2 linked regions of the Oryctolagus cuniculus genome follow. The protein of the gene in region 1 interacts with the protein of each later gene in a pairwise test. Links are inferred from orthologs where the notes say so. Each region holds a gene or a part of one and is shown on either strand. Other genes may lie near its edges.

Region 1 (7,105 bases):
GGGGCTACTGGCCCTGCGGCTCCTCCTCGGACTGGCTGTGGCCGTTGAGGGCGGGGGAGCCGGGCCGGGCGTGGGCCAGGTCCTCGAAGCCGGGGCTGAGGGAGGGCGAGACGGTGTCGGGGCTGGTGTCGTAGGAGCCGGAGCTCTGCTCCGAGGTGGCGATGGTGGTCGTGGTGCTGGGCGGGATGGGGTCCTCCTCCTCGTCCTCCAGGAGCGAGGCCTCGGGGATGTCTGCGAGAGGAGGCGGAGGTGGGGCCCCGACGGCCCGCCCACCGCGGCCACGGCCCCGCCCACCTTCCGGGGGAGGGGGGAGGCCCAGGCTGTGACGGGGCGAGGGCACGGGCCCTGGGGGCGCGCCTGGCTCTGTCCTCATGCTGGCCCCTGGGCCCTGGGCCGGGAACCGCCCCTGCCCGACTCCGCTCCCTGCTCTGTGCCTGTCACGGGCCCATTCTGCAGAGGTACCCGGGGCTCGCTCGGGGCTCGCGGTGGGCTGGCAGCCACGTGGGGTGGCAGCCGAGGGCGAGCCCGCAGCGGTGAGCTCAGGCCGGGCCCCTGGGCCTCCGTTGTCCCGGCTGGGAAATGGGGAGACTCGCAGCGCGGCCCTGCCTGGGGGTCGCGGGGACCCGGTGAGGCTCCGCCTTGGGGCAGCGGTGCCGCTGGGAGGCCCCTTGCCCACCGCCCCGCCCCGCCCCGGCCCGGCCCGCCCGGGGACACTCACGGCTGAAGGCCTCGGGGTGCTGCCGCGCCAGCTTCCCTTTCAGCGTCCTGCGGGCGGGACAGGAGGGAGAGCGCGTGGCTGCCGGGGGCGGGGCCGGCGGCCTCCCGGGCCTCCCGGTCCCTGAACGCCCCCAGTGGCCGCGACGGCTCCGCTCGCCCGGTGGCAGGGCCCGGCTCTCGCGGCCACCCCAGGTGCGTGGGCAGGGAGCTGGATCGGACGTGCAGCAGCCGGGACTCGAACCTACGCCCGGACGGGATGCCAGGATGCCGGCGTTGCGGGCCCTGGCTTCGCCTGAAGGCCACAGCGCCGGCCCCCCGGGGCCTTGACAGCCTGTGCCCGTCTGTGTACAGAGTGGCAAAGGGGTCTGCTGCCCGCCACGCCCCCTGCTGCCCAGGCAGCCAAGCTCACACGCAGTCAGGGAGCTCCTCTTCCGGTCCAGCTCCCCGCTGTGGCCTGGGAAAGCAGTGGACAGTGGCCAAGCCCTGGGGCCCCTGCACCCGCGTGGGAGACCCGGATGGAGCTGCTGGCTCCCAGCTCCAGCCTGGCCCAGCCCTGGTCATGGCGGCCATGTGGGGAGTGACCCAGCGGAGGGAAGACCTCTCTCTCTCTAACTCTGCCTTTCCAATTAATTAATAAATAAATAAAAAAAGCCAGGATGCTGGCGCAGGGCTGGGCGCCCACCTGATGCGGCGGAAGATGCTGTCCAGGTCGCGCTTCATCTCGCCCAGCGCGCGCGTGTGCTGCAGGAAGCGCTCGCCCATCTGCTGCAGGCGGCCGCTGGACAGCTGGTTAAAGTTGAGCAGCATCTCGTTGGTCTTCTCGAAGCGGTCCAGCCTGGCGCCAGAGAGAAGGCTCCTATTCAGTCCTCAGCGCCCCAGTAAGGGTGTCCCGTGACGGCGCTGCCTGCCCCTGGGGCCCTGGCAGCTTCAGGGTGCTCTGGCCCAGCCCTGGCATGTGGCGCCGTGGGGGTCTGTGTCCTGTTTTGTCTACGCCCCGTCTGGGAGCTTCCCCAGGGTCAAGTCTGCAGCCAGCGCTGTGGCGTGGCGGGTAAAGCGGCCGCCTGCAGTGCCAGCATCCCGTGTGGGCGCCGGGTCGAGTCCCAGCTGCTCCACTTCCCATCCAGCTCTCCGCTGTGGCCTGGGAAGGCAGGGGAAGATGGCCCACGTGCATGGGTCTCCACCACCCTGGGAAGACCTCCTCTCCCCCTCTGGCTGTCACTCTGCCTTTCAAATGAACGAAAATAAATCACTCCCAGGATGCACCGGTCCTCCTCTCCCCAGCAAGGCAGCTGGAATCGGGGTGAGGCTGTGGCAGGCTCCGAGCCCGCCTGTGGGAGGCAGGTATGTCCCGCCGCCCTCCCCAAGAGACCCCGGGGGGCTCGCCACACAGCTCTGTGCCTCTGGTCCCGCCGTCCCCCCGCCTCCCCGCCCAGGAGCCCGGCCAGGGAGGAGGCCAGGGGAGCCAGCAGGCAGATCCAGCTCCCTGCGTTTGCATCAGGAGCGCGGCCGGAGTGGGCTCCCGCCCCGCCCCGCCCCGCCCCGCCCAGCCGGGGCTCACATGTTCTTCTGGGCCAGGATGATGGCGTTGACGTCCTCGGCGTTCACCATGCTCAGGACGCGGCTGCAGAAGACCCCGGAGGCCGAGTCGGGGGCGTCCATGTCCTCCTCCTCCTCCTCCGCGGCCTGGAGCAGGCGGGAAACACAGACTGCAGGGGGCTCCGGCGCGCTCTGGATCGGTACGGCTTCCCGGGGTCCCGGGCGCCTGCACGGAGCTGCTGCTGCTGCCTCCCAGCCCCCACCCCCGCCTCTGCACCTGCTGCCCCCACAGAACACGTGCGGCAAGGCTGCCTCATCGGGTCGCCCCCACGGGGGGGCGGGGTCTGCGGCGTGGAGCAAGGGGTTAGGGCTCCACGTGTGACAACCGCATCCCATGTGGGTGCCAGTTCGAGTCCCGGCTGCTCCACTTCCAATCCAGCTCTCTCTGTGGCCTGGGAAAGCGGCGGAAGATGACCCAAGTGCTTAGGCCCTGCACCTGCGTGGGAGACCCGGATGGAGCTCCTGGCTCCTGGCCCAGCCCTGACCATTGTGGCCATTTGGGGAGGGAAGCCGCCGCCGCCTTCTCCCTCCCGCCGGGGTCTCTGGGCCGGCCCCTGCAGACCCGGCTCTGACGGGGTTCGCCTGTTGTTAGCAAGTCCCAGGCACTGGGAGCCCCACGACCCAGACGTCCTGGACAGTGCCCGCTCTCACGGGCACACGAAGGACCCCACCCCAGTGGGCTGGGCCTCCCAGACCATGCGAGGCCCAGCAGCGGCGGGCGGGGGTGGGAGGGTCAGGAAAAATCTGGAACCTTGGCATAGCTTGGCCGCCAGGCCCACGCGCGAGATGACAGACAGCCCCATTTACAGCTGGCCGAGACTCGGAGCCCACAGCATCCACCTACTGAGCGCCTACTGTATGTGGCACACGCTCACTGCGCTCGGCGGTCACACAGCCCCCGAGCCCAGGCCAGGGTCCGAGCGGCCGCGGCCCTGGGCAGCACCCAGGTGCACGTGCGTCTGACGGGCCCCGCCCACGGCGGGGGGACAGCTGCTTCCTACGACAGCTGATAAAAACAATTTTTTCCCCATGAAATCGCCTTATTTGCCACTGTTAGCCAGGAATTCTTTTTATCCAAAACATCACGGGAGCCAGGACTGCTCGCGCCCTGACCCCGGCAGGTGGCTCGCCGCCCCTGGACACGCGCTAGGACTGTCTGCAGAGCAGGGCCACCCACGCGCTGTCCGGGGATCAGGGCAGAGGCTCCAACCCCGGGCCTGTCGCTGGCTGCCTCTCTCAGGAAGCCTTCCGGGCTGCACATCCCAAAGGGAACTCACGCAGCAAGGGCCCCGGTTTCAAGTGGGGGAGGGAGGGATCAGTTTTCTCATCCAGGAAATGGGAATGGGGGGCGGTGAAGGCAAGGTGGATTGTGGGCGGAGCTTGGAGCAGGTGTTTCCCCACGGGGTCCAGCCTGTTGAGGGCATCCCACGTGACTGCAAGAGGCGGAGCTAACTGCACAACGTCGCACTGAATTCCCAGCCACCCCTGCGAGGGTCGCCCACACCGTCGGCTGAACTCCCCACTCCGCGCCCCGGTAAAGACAGCCCGGGTGGGGCGGGGCTTGGGTCTACACCCGCAGGCTCCGCCCACACGAAGCGGGGAAACTGAGGCACCGGCAGGTGAACGCCCAACTCCAGGTCACACCGCACCGTCGGAACGCTGGTGGCCCCAACGCCCGCGCCCCGCACGGCGCGCCCCACCCCGGGCAGCCCGGGGACGGCGCCCGACCCGGCCCGGCTCCCCGCCGCCCCGGCGTCCCGCTCCCCGCCCCGCCCCAAGCTCAGCCCCGGAGGCGGCGGCGGCACCTGCACATCTGGCAGCCTCGCTCGCGCTTCCGGGATGGCGTCCGCGCCGCCGCGACGTCACCACGCACGGGCGCTCGCGGCGGCGGCGCACTCTGGGGCCGACGTGCGTGCGCGCGTGCGTGGTGGGGGCTCGGCAGGAAGAGGCGGGCTCGCTCGCCCTGCGTCACAGCCCACGTCCAATCAAACGGGCTCTCGTGCGCCTGCGCAGTCCGCGCGGCTGAGCCGCCGGAAGGGGTTAGGTCGGAAGGTATGTCCAGGGCTGATGTCCGCAGTCTCCCCCAGTCCGTGAGAGCTCCCAGGCTCCCGTCGCTTTGAATGATCTTAGCATTTAAGAACTTTTTCCTAAGATTTTTTTTATGTACTTCAGAGGCAGAGAGAGAGAGGTTTTCCATCCGCTGGTCACTCCCCAGATGGACACTGGGCCAGGCCGCAGCCGGGAGCTCCATCCGGATCTCCCGCGCAGGTGCAGGGCCCGGCATGCTGCCCCCAGGCCCTCAGCCCGGGGCTGGACCGGTCCCGAGCTGCAGAGACTGAAGCCAGCGCCGCCGCCTGGGGTGCGGGCGCCACAACGCGGCCCCCCAACAAGGATTTTTTAAAATAATTTTTAGAATTTTTGGGGGGCCGGCGCTGTGGCATAGCGGGTAAAGCCGCCTCCTGCAGCGCTGGCATTCCCTATGGGCCCCGGTTCGAGTCCCGGCTGCTCCACTTCCGGTCCAGCTCCCTGCTATGGCCTGGGAAAGCAGCGGAGGATGGCTCAGGTGCTGGGCCCCTGCACCTGCGTGGGAGACCCGGATGGAGCTCCTGGCTCGTGCGCACCGGTGGGAAGAAGCTGGGTCGCAGACCCCGGCTCTCAGATCTGGGATCCAGGCTCCCAGCGGGCGTCTTGGCTACGTTGTTACTGCCGCCTCTGCTGAAAAGCCCCGGGGACCAGGATTCTTACGGAGTTTGACAGTTTTTAAAGACTTTCCCTCCCGCCAGGTGTGGCCCGTGTTCTGGGACCCCAGGGACCACTTAGGTCCTGCTTAGGCCTGGAAGGAAAAAGGAGATAGAGTCAGAGGCAGACGCCCCCAGCCTCGCGGGGCTTCTGTGTTTGTAAAGAATAGGAAGGACCCTCCGTGCGCAGGAACCTGAGCCGTTGTGAGCGCTCGTTTTGGGAGCAAGGGAGGTTGCGGGGAGGCAAACCCCATCTAGCTGGGGTTTTGAGGTTGGAGTAGGAGTTTTGCAGGCAGTGGACGTGACTTGGGGCTGTAAGAAACGATGATGGGAAACCACACGGTGTGGGCTTGACCGTTGTAAGGGGGGGGGGGCTCGGTGAGCCCGCGGCGGCCAAGAGCTGAGAGAGGGGCCCTGCTGGGGGAAGCTGCTCGATCCATGGCCGTGTGCAGGCTGCCGCAGGGGGCCCTGCCAGAGGCCGGGGCACGTTTCTGGGAGCCCCAGACGGGTAGGGACAGAGGGACTTGGGGGCCCCGAGGACTGGAGACGAAATGTCCTGGTGTCCTGTGTGTTTACGGGAGAGGGTGGTGAGCGCAGGGCCGCCCCGTCCAGCAGGAGAGACCCATGGGAGGGCACTCGCAGCCCCCTCCTCCGCCCTGTTTTGGTTGCGTTTGCTCCACGCGTGTCCCCGGGTGGGCTCAGCCACTGGCCACCCTGGCCAGGGAGGGGACCTGGCCCACGTTGCCCTCCATGGCCGCGACCTTGAACAAGCTACGCCATGCCTCCGTTTCCCTGGCCATACAGGAAGCTCTCGGGAGTCGTACCAGATACCCCCATTCGTCCCTAAAGAAGGCCAACGTGGTGCCAGCATCCCATGTAGGCACGGGTTCGAGTCCCGGCTGCTCCACTTCCCATCCAGCTCTGCTGTGGCCTGGGAAAGCAGTGGAGGACGGCCCAGGTCCTTGGGCCCCTGCACCCGTGTGGGAGACCCGGATGGAGCTCCTGGCTCCTGGCTTTGGCCTGGCTCAGCTCTGGCCGTCTGTCAAGTGAACCAGTGATTGGAAGATCGATCGATCCCTCTCTCACTCTGCCTTTCAAATAACTAAATCTTAGGAAACAGGAACACAGAGTGGTGAAGGTTTATATCCAAATGTGTCCAAAATTACATCAACTGTAAATAGATCAAATACTGGCGGTAAAAGGCAGGGACGGGCCGGCATCAAGGCCGGTGCCCACGATGCCCACGCCCACCGGGGAGCTCCTGGGTCTGATTCCTGGCCCCGGCCCTGCCTGCGCAGACCCCAGGGGTGGCAGTGAGGATGCAGGGTGACTGGGTCCCCCCGGCCGCCCAGCACACGCGGGAGCCTCACCTGAGCACCCAGCTCTTGGTTTAAGCCCCAGCCACTGTGGGCGTCTGGGGCTGAATCTCTCTCCCTCTCCGTCTTCCTCCCTCCCTCTCTCTCTCTCTCTCTCTCCCTCTCTCTGCCTTTCAAGTAAGTGACCAAGTACAAGCCAAAGGCGAGACCGGCGTGCAGAGTCCACGCTCGAGATTAGGGGAGCACAGGACGGCGGCCAGTTCCCTCCCGGGGGGACCTGACCCTCGGACTCTGTGTGAGGCCCAGGAAGCATTCCACCAGGGTCTGCCTGTGCCTGGCAGGGGACCAAGCACTCGGGCTGTCGGCCACCGCTTTCCCAGAACATTAGCAGGGAGCTGGATCCGAAGTGGAGCAGCTGGGACTCGAACCGGTGCCCCATGGGATGCCGGCACCACAGGCTGCAGCTTTACTGGCTACGCCACAGCGCCGGCCCCTGGCCTAGGGTTTGTGTGATGCCCCTGCCTTGGTGACTTCTCACGGCCCCCTGCTGGTTCTGTATGGCCTGCCTTTCGCAGCGACTTCCCTGGGTGCCCGGGACCTCGTGCCTGGCAGGTGCTCAGGCCTCAGGGCTGGGGGAGTGGGGGCTGGGATCCCGCAGCAGGTGTGCGGTGGGCCAGGCAGAGGTGAACTAACCGGGGCAGGCGTTCTTGGGAAGCATGTGTCCTGGGTTCGAATCCT
Region 2 (6,957 bases), on another chromosome or scaffold:
CATTGTGACATTAGGGCTGTGTCCTTTATTCCATCGCAATCGAGGTAGGTGAGTGACACAATTCTACAGTGGATTCTGAGAACCCCTGGAGGTAGTATGACACCAATAAGCCCTGAACTGGGAGTCTGAGCCTTTGGATTCCACTTCTGGCCGTGCCCCAGACTAAATCTTTAAGTTCAGCTCTACGTGGCCATGGTTCAGTGCTGCTGGCATAATGATGGTTCTAGGGGCAGGTGTTTATAACACAGCCACCACATGCCAGGCACTGCTGTAAGCAGTTTTCATACGTGAGCTCATTTTTTTGTTTTACAGAAAAAATACTGGAGAATTTACCAGATTGTACCTTTTCTTTTGCTACCTCTGGGGCTGTAGGAGATCACCTCCCACAACGATGAAGAAACAAAAACTGGACAGGCTGCCGAAGGGGACTCAGAGGGTAGCTGAGCTGGCTGGGGGCAGGTCTGCTGGCTCTCAAGGTGGTAAGCTCGCTCACCGACACTGCTTCTCCATGACAGGAAGTGGCCTGAGAACTGGCCAGGGCCACACTTGTCTGCACAAAATATTTTATAAAGCTCTAATACAGCAATAAGATGCTCACCTATCAACACAACACAATGCATGCCCAGACCTTTCCTAACTTGAAAAAATTCCATGATCCCATTGAAAGTTTGGGTTATTGTCTTAAAAATATTAACTTCCTATTAAGAACTGTAATCATTAAAATAACTCCAAAAGGATATAAGTGGTAATACCAGAAATCAAGAGCAGAAGCAGCTTCTTATTCTCAGCTAGAGATGTGCCAATGGGTGCTGTAGAGACCCCATCCTGGCAGAGCGGCCCCTTGGGATGGCCCAGTCACTGTAGCTAAGGCTGCCAGCTACCAGGTGGCTTCAAGGACATGGTGATGGTGACCCACTGACAAACAGCTGATCGTAATTTTCTTAAAAGCCTATCTCAATCCAAAGTGCATTTCCCAAGAGGCGCCATGATATGGAAAGGGAAGGGAATCCAGAGTCAGAAGCCCAAAAATTGACCCAGGGATGTTTAGTGACGTCAGTTAGTATGGCCGCATCACAGAATGGTCCTAGGGAAAGTGTTATTGGTCCTACTGGCCCTGCCTAGCCCGGCACTGCTGTCAGAGATGTGAGTGATCAGTAAATACTGATTCCTTCTCTAAGGAGCAGTCATGCTGGAAGAATGCTGTCCAGAGCTTTCTTCATTCCCATCTTAGTTCACTCGGAGCTGCTGTAACAAAATGCCACAACTGGGCGATGTATAAACAAGCATGAGAAAGCAGGCTGGGAAGGTCAGGGCCCAGGCACGGCAGGTGTGGTGTCCATCAGAGCCCCCTTGCTGGCACACACACAGCAAATTTCTCACTGTCATAGCATGGCAAAAGGAATGAGGGTGCTCTCCAGGGTCCCTTTAAAAAGGGCATTAATCCCATGGATGAGTATTTTACAAACTTTTTTATTTATTTGAAAGGGAGGCAGAGACAAATAGAGATCTTCCACCTATTGATTCATCCCCTAAATGCCCACAACAGCCAAGGATGGGCCAGGCCAAAGCCAGGAGCCCAGACCACAAACCAGATCTCCCACACAGGTGGCAGGGACCCAGGTTTCTACCTTCCAGGGTGAGCGTGAGCAGACAGCTGGATCAGAGGCAGAGCTGGGACTTGAGCCCAGGCACTCTGATATGGGATTCCAGCGTCCCAAGCAGGGTTTTGACCACTGTGCCATCCGCTGTCCCAGGGCCCCACCTCTTAACAGCTTGATGTCAGTGATCAGTCTTCAACACATGAAGCGTGGAGGGGAGTAGGCATCACCATTCAGAACATAGAAGCCACAGAGAAGGAAAGTGACTTAGCCAGGATCCAGTGTGGACACGACAGAGCCTGCCAGTCGCCCCTCTTTAGCACGCCATCGTTAACCTCAAGTTATTTTTTTTAGGATTATGTTAATTCTATTTGTCTTTTCTTAAGCTTAGAGTCTATAGAAATTTGTGGAAATCCATATAGTTAAGTCTTCAGACTTTGAATCTAAGCCTAACTGGACGGCTCCATCAGCCCTCAGCAGCCTTGGAGAGCCACCCAACCCTCCCACTCTACCCTTCCAAAACTGGAGGGTCAGGAAGCTACTTACCCCACATCACACAGGTAGCAGAGGAGGTTCAAACACCTGTGCTTCACCGAGTCCAGCGCTCTTCCAGCGAACCCTGGGTGCCATGGAAAGGAAAAAAGAGTCTGAGAAAAAGCCTGAGAAATGAATGTGATTTCCTCGTGGCGCTGGATGTGGGTGAGTGTCTCACACAGACAAGCATTCTATGTGCACACACATAGAAGGTATGCAGGGTGACAGATTCACTCAGAAGGTGAGAAAGTGAACACACAGGTGTGAGCATGGGCTGCCCCACAGAGAAACTCCCAGCGCGAGTGGGCAGTGGGCTGGAGGACCGTGGGAAGAGAGGACACCTGTGCAGCACCTCTAGCTGGGGGGGCTCCCCCCCAGGTGGCCTCTTTTGTGAGGTAGGAAGGGGGCCTCTGCAGGTGAGAAGCCATCTGGGAACGCTATGGGACCTTCACACACCCCACGTGGAGCTTAATCTCCATATCTTCATGCCGGTCCCGGTCCCGTCCATTAGATCCTGGGACAGGAGGTGGTTTGATTGACAAGTAGGAGGACATGGGGGCTTCCAACTCACCCTGGTTACCGCATCGGTGCTCACTGAGGCTACTTCAGAATGAGCACACGGCGTTTATATTTGTACAAAAGCAGTCATCGCTATACAAGGGGGAAAATTCGCCTTTTTCCTGCTCTCATGTTTAAGAAAGTCAACACTGAAGCGTAGTTTGCGCTGGCGCCTGACTTAAAACGGTGGTGCGTGTATTAATTAACGTGATTTCTCGGCGGCTTCATCCGAGTGCCTTGTAGCTCTGCGCGAGGAAGGGACAGCGACTCAGGGGAGGCCTCCACTCCCACCCCCTACCCCGGCCCTTTGACCTCCCCCGCCCCCACCGCGCTCTCCTCTGAGGGTGGCCCTTTCACCCAGGCTCTCTTAACGACTACTTTAGAGCGTGCAAACGCGCATGCAGCTTCCCGCCTGAAGCTCCGTGGTAGTGGTGGTGCCATTGTGCACCCTCTGGTTTCCTACAAATGCCACCCTTGGTTTTCTACAAATTCCTCTGCCCCTTGAATTCTGCGCGGCGCTGGCCAGGTCCAGGGCGGGTGGCGCGCTGCCTGAGCCGAGGGCTGCGGGGACCTGGTGGTGCCAGGCGCATTGTGAAGTGGCGGGAGCGTCACAGGCGACCTGGTCCCCGGGAGCGGAGGGCGGGGCCGGTGCCGCAGCGACCCTGGGAGCCCCGGGACCCTGGCACAGACGCACGGCGCGCCCGGAGGGAGCATGGCGGGCTTCAGCAACTTCACCTCGCCGCCCTATCGCGACCTCTGGGAGCCGCGGCCACCCCGCGGAGGACGCGCGTCCCCGGCGAGGTTGGGCGGGCCGGGACCCGGGGCCGAGCCGGCCCTGGACTCCTGGGCCAAGACTGCGGGCGCCGAGAGGGAGGCGGCGGCCCCCTGGCTGCACCGGAGCTCCTCACCATCAGCGCGGACTCGCGGGCGCGCGTACTGTGCCTCACCAAGGGAAAGCCGCAGCCTCACCGACGTGGCGCCGAGGCCGCTCGACCGCGCCAGGATGCACCCGCCCCGCAGCCGGCGCCTAGAAGAGGCCTGGAGCGAGACCCGGAGCAAGTCCAGCGCGGCCTGGCCACAGCCATCCCCCCTGCAGCCCCAACAGTCGCAGCCCTTCCCGCGCTACACCCCGGCCCAGGGGGACTCGCCACCGCCGTACCCCGAGGGCGCTTACACTCTCGCGAGCGTGGCACCGAGTGGAGACCAGTGGGCAGCAGGGGTCTGCGGCCACGAGGGTCTCTGGTCCTCTTCCCCAGTTCCCACGGAGAAGTCTTTTGCGCCCTCCCAGGAGTTCGGGACGCACTCGGCCTGTGTGCGCCCTCAAAAGAGGGACAGTAGCGAGCGGGTGGAATCGGCGGGTAGTCCGGGCTCGCAGCCCTCGGCGTCCAGCAGAGACACGCAGAACCAGCACAGCCAGGCGCTCACCAGCACCCTGCAGGAGGCGGTGATGTCCTCGCGGGACCAGAAGATCGTGGCCCTGGTGCTGACCCGACTCAAGAAGGCGCAGAGGATGCGGGAGCTGCAACAGCAGGCGGCAGTCGCGTGGGAGGAGCTGAAGCTCTCGGACCAGAAGGTCCAGGTGACCCTGGAGCGGGAGCGCCAGCTGCTGCTGCAGCGGAGCCAGGAGCAGTGGCAGGAGAAGGAGCCGCGCAAGACTCGCCCGGGCCGCGAGCCCCACGGCCGGCGGCGCAGCAGCCCCGGGAAGAACGCGCCCCCGGCGGAGAGCCGCTGGAGGGCGCCGCCCGAGGACCAGGAGAACCAGCGCCAGGAGAAACCGGACGGCGCGCGCGCCCTGGCCGAGCAGCGCAAGCAGAGCCAGGTGCAGCGCCTGCGGGAGCAGGAGAGGCAGGCGCAGCGGCTGCGGGAGCAGAGCGGCCTGCAGCTGCAGCGGAGGCTGGAGGAGGCCTCCCACAAGAGGCACCTGCACGCCGCCGAGGGCCAGAAGAAGGTCCAGCAGACCAACTTGAGCTCCCTCGTCAATTACCAGGCTCGCAAAGTGCTCCTGGACTGCCAGGTCAAGGCCGAGGAGCTCCTCCGGAAGCTGTCGCTGGAGCAGAGCTGCCAGCGGTCTCAAGAGGTCCAGCAGTGTCTGATTAAGGAGCGGTACCGGGAGCTGAGGGAGAAGGCCCGGAAGGAGGCAGAGCAGTTGCAGCAGGTCAGGTGGCGCGCGGGAGAGGCCGAGGAGCAGACGAAGGCGCGCAAGAGGGTGCTGGTGGAGCTGGCCGACCAGAAGATCCGGCAGGCCAGGAGCCACGCGCACAGGACCGCCAGGGACAAGGCGCAGCACCTCCGCGAGCTCAACGCCCTGCGGGAGAAGAACCACCTGGTCCTGAAGCTGAGAGCCGAGAAGGAGGAGAAGTCCCACGTCGAGGGCATCAAGGAGGCCATTAAGAAGAAGGAGCAGCGGATGGAGCAGATATCCCGAGGGAAACAGCTCGCCTCCCAGGACTTCCCGAAGGGCTCTGGGGCCCCCAGGGGGAGCGACTCGAGAGAGCTCCAGGACAGCCGCTTCGATCGGTTGGCACCAGAGGCGCAGCTGCGCGTCGGGTCGCAGAGGGGGCGCTACTGAGCACAATCCGAGGACCATCCGCTTGCAGCCCCAGCAGCCAGAAAGACACGTGACCATGCGGCTCATTTTATAATCTGATTATAACTGAGCATTGATTTTTTTAAAAGTACATAAAATAGCTGCAATTTCCTCTCATGAGCTAGTTTATTGATTCACTTAGATAGTGTAGCGGGTTGGGGAGCGAAATCGGCGCGTTTTTAAGAAAAGTAGTTGGCTTTGCAAATTTGAATTTGCATAGAAAATCTTCACTGAGCTCTCCAGCGCTCTTGGAAGCACACGGTAGACACAGAGAAGAATCTGCCGTCTGGGAGGCAGTTCTGTGTCCTGTTCTGGTCTTTTCCTATCCTAGAGGGTTGCAAGAAATTTCCAAGAAAACAAGATAGGGCTGTGGTGGGAGGATTTGGGATTCCCTCTTGGTAGTTCACAAAGCCACTGTAAAATTTTAGAACTCTGAAAAGGCCTGCAGTTAAAACAAAACAAAACAACAACAAAAAAAAAACTTACTCGTTTAACCTAGTGTTTGTTGCAAAACATGGGACATGGAACTGATGTTCTGTGAACCATGCTTGGAAAGGTGGCTCCACAGATCTCCGCAGATTGTAAACTCCTTTGGCTGTGCCTCCTTGGATAGACAGCAAGTGTGGACGATTCCATCAGTGCCACTGGCGTCCATTGGCTTGGAGTTCTGTTCTTTTGATCAATCTGTTCAGTCTTATGCAACAACATTCCATTAGAATCTTCCTCTTCCCCTCTCTTGTGCCTCTGAAGAAGGCATGTGACGTCATTCTGCCCGTGTTGTGCCTAAGTAACCTAACCTGGCTGGGAAGGAAGAACGAAACGTGACTCAGCAGCACGGTGTTTTAAAAACCAGGAACGCACAAACGGAAATTAAGCCATCATATCTTCTATCTTAGAGTCCTATGGAAAATCTCTGTGCTCTCTTTAAAAAGCCCCAGATGTAACGTGTGTGTGTGTGTGTTTGTGTGTGTGAGAGAGAGAGAGAGAGAGAGAGAGAGAGTGAATACGCCCCACTGGCAGATCTTTGTTCCACCTGCAACTGTGAAGCTGCATTAGGGGTAGGTAGCCTGACTCGGGGTTCCGTGCCAGGTCGGTGTGAGGTCCATTTTCTCAGCCCTTATGATGGAACCAGGCCCTCTTCCCCGTTCTGTTCTCTCCTCCTACCTGGGACCCCTCTACCTGCTAGCCCTACGGACTCCTATTGGAGGGCCCTCACTCCTTTGCTCAAAAATGTTCAAGGATACCTCTTGCTCAAAAAACGTAAGGGCTCACATATCTCACCTCCATTCCCAGCCTTGCTCTCTCCTTGACCAAGTTAGTGCTCTGTTCTAGCCAAATGCAATGTGCAACCCCGGGTATTCTAGGGTAATGCTTACGCTGTTTAGCCCAGCCCTTGGTATGACTCTAGGTGCTCTTTCTCAATATACCTGTGTGGGATTCAAGAAGTTAGCTCTCTGAACCTGAGCATCCTCTTCTGTAAAATACAAAGGCACATTCTAGGGATGATTAAAGAAAACAATCCGTGCTAGGAGTTTGGCATGTTGCCCAGCGCTTAATGGAGACCCTGTAATCGCATTCTGTGGCTTTTACTGTTACCAGTACTGAGCCTGTGTCTGTGCCAGGCCCGAGCTCCCCTATGTGGACACCTTTTCACTGGCTGTCTCCTTGCAGCATAGCCAA

The links. The genes of interacting proteins can lie anywhere in the genome.
Region 2: the proteins of KXD1 (region 1) and CCDC185 interact in a two-hybrid assay, tested with the Homo sapiens proteins (2 studies listed by BioGRID and IntAct). The two-hybrid records come from large-scale screens. The link is inferred for Oryctolagus cuniculus from reciprocal best matches to the Homo sapiens genes KXD1 and CCDC185.

The regions. Positions count from the first base shown.
Region 1 is NC_091447.1:65,704,492-65,711,596, reverse strand, and holds the start of KXD1 (kxDL motif-containing protein 1), read right to left. Parts: upstream 4,249-7,105; 5' UTR 4,119-4,248; intron 2,401-4,118; 5' UTR 2,377-2,400; coding exon 2,276-2,376; intron 1,553-2,275; coding exon 1,400-1,552; intron 766-1,399; coding exon 719-765; intron 232-718; coding exon 5-231; 3' UTR 1-4.
Region 2 is NC_091444.1:37,691,015-37,697,971, forward strand, and holds CCDC185 (coiled-coil domain-containing protein 185), read left to right. Parts: upstream 1-3,328; 5' UTR 3,329-3,402; coding exon 3,403-5,259; 3' UTR 5,260-5,412; downstream 5,413-6,957.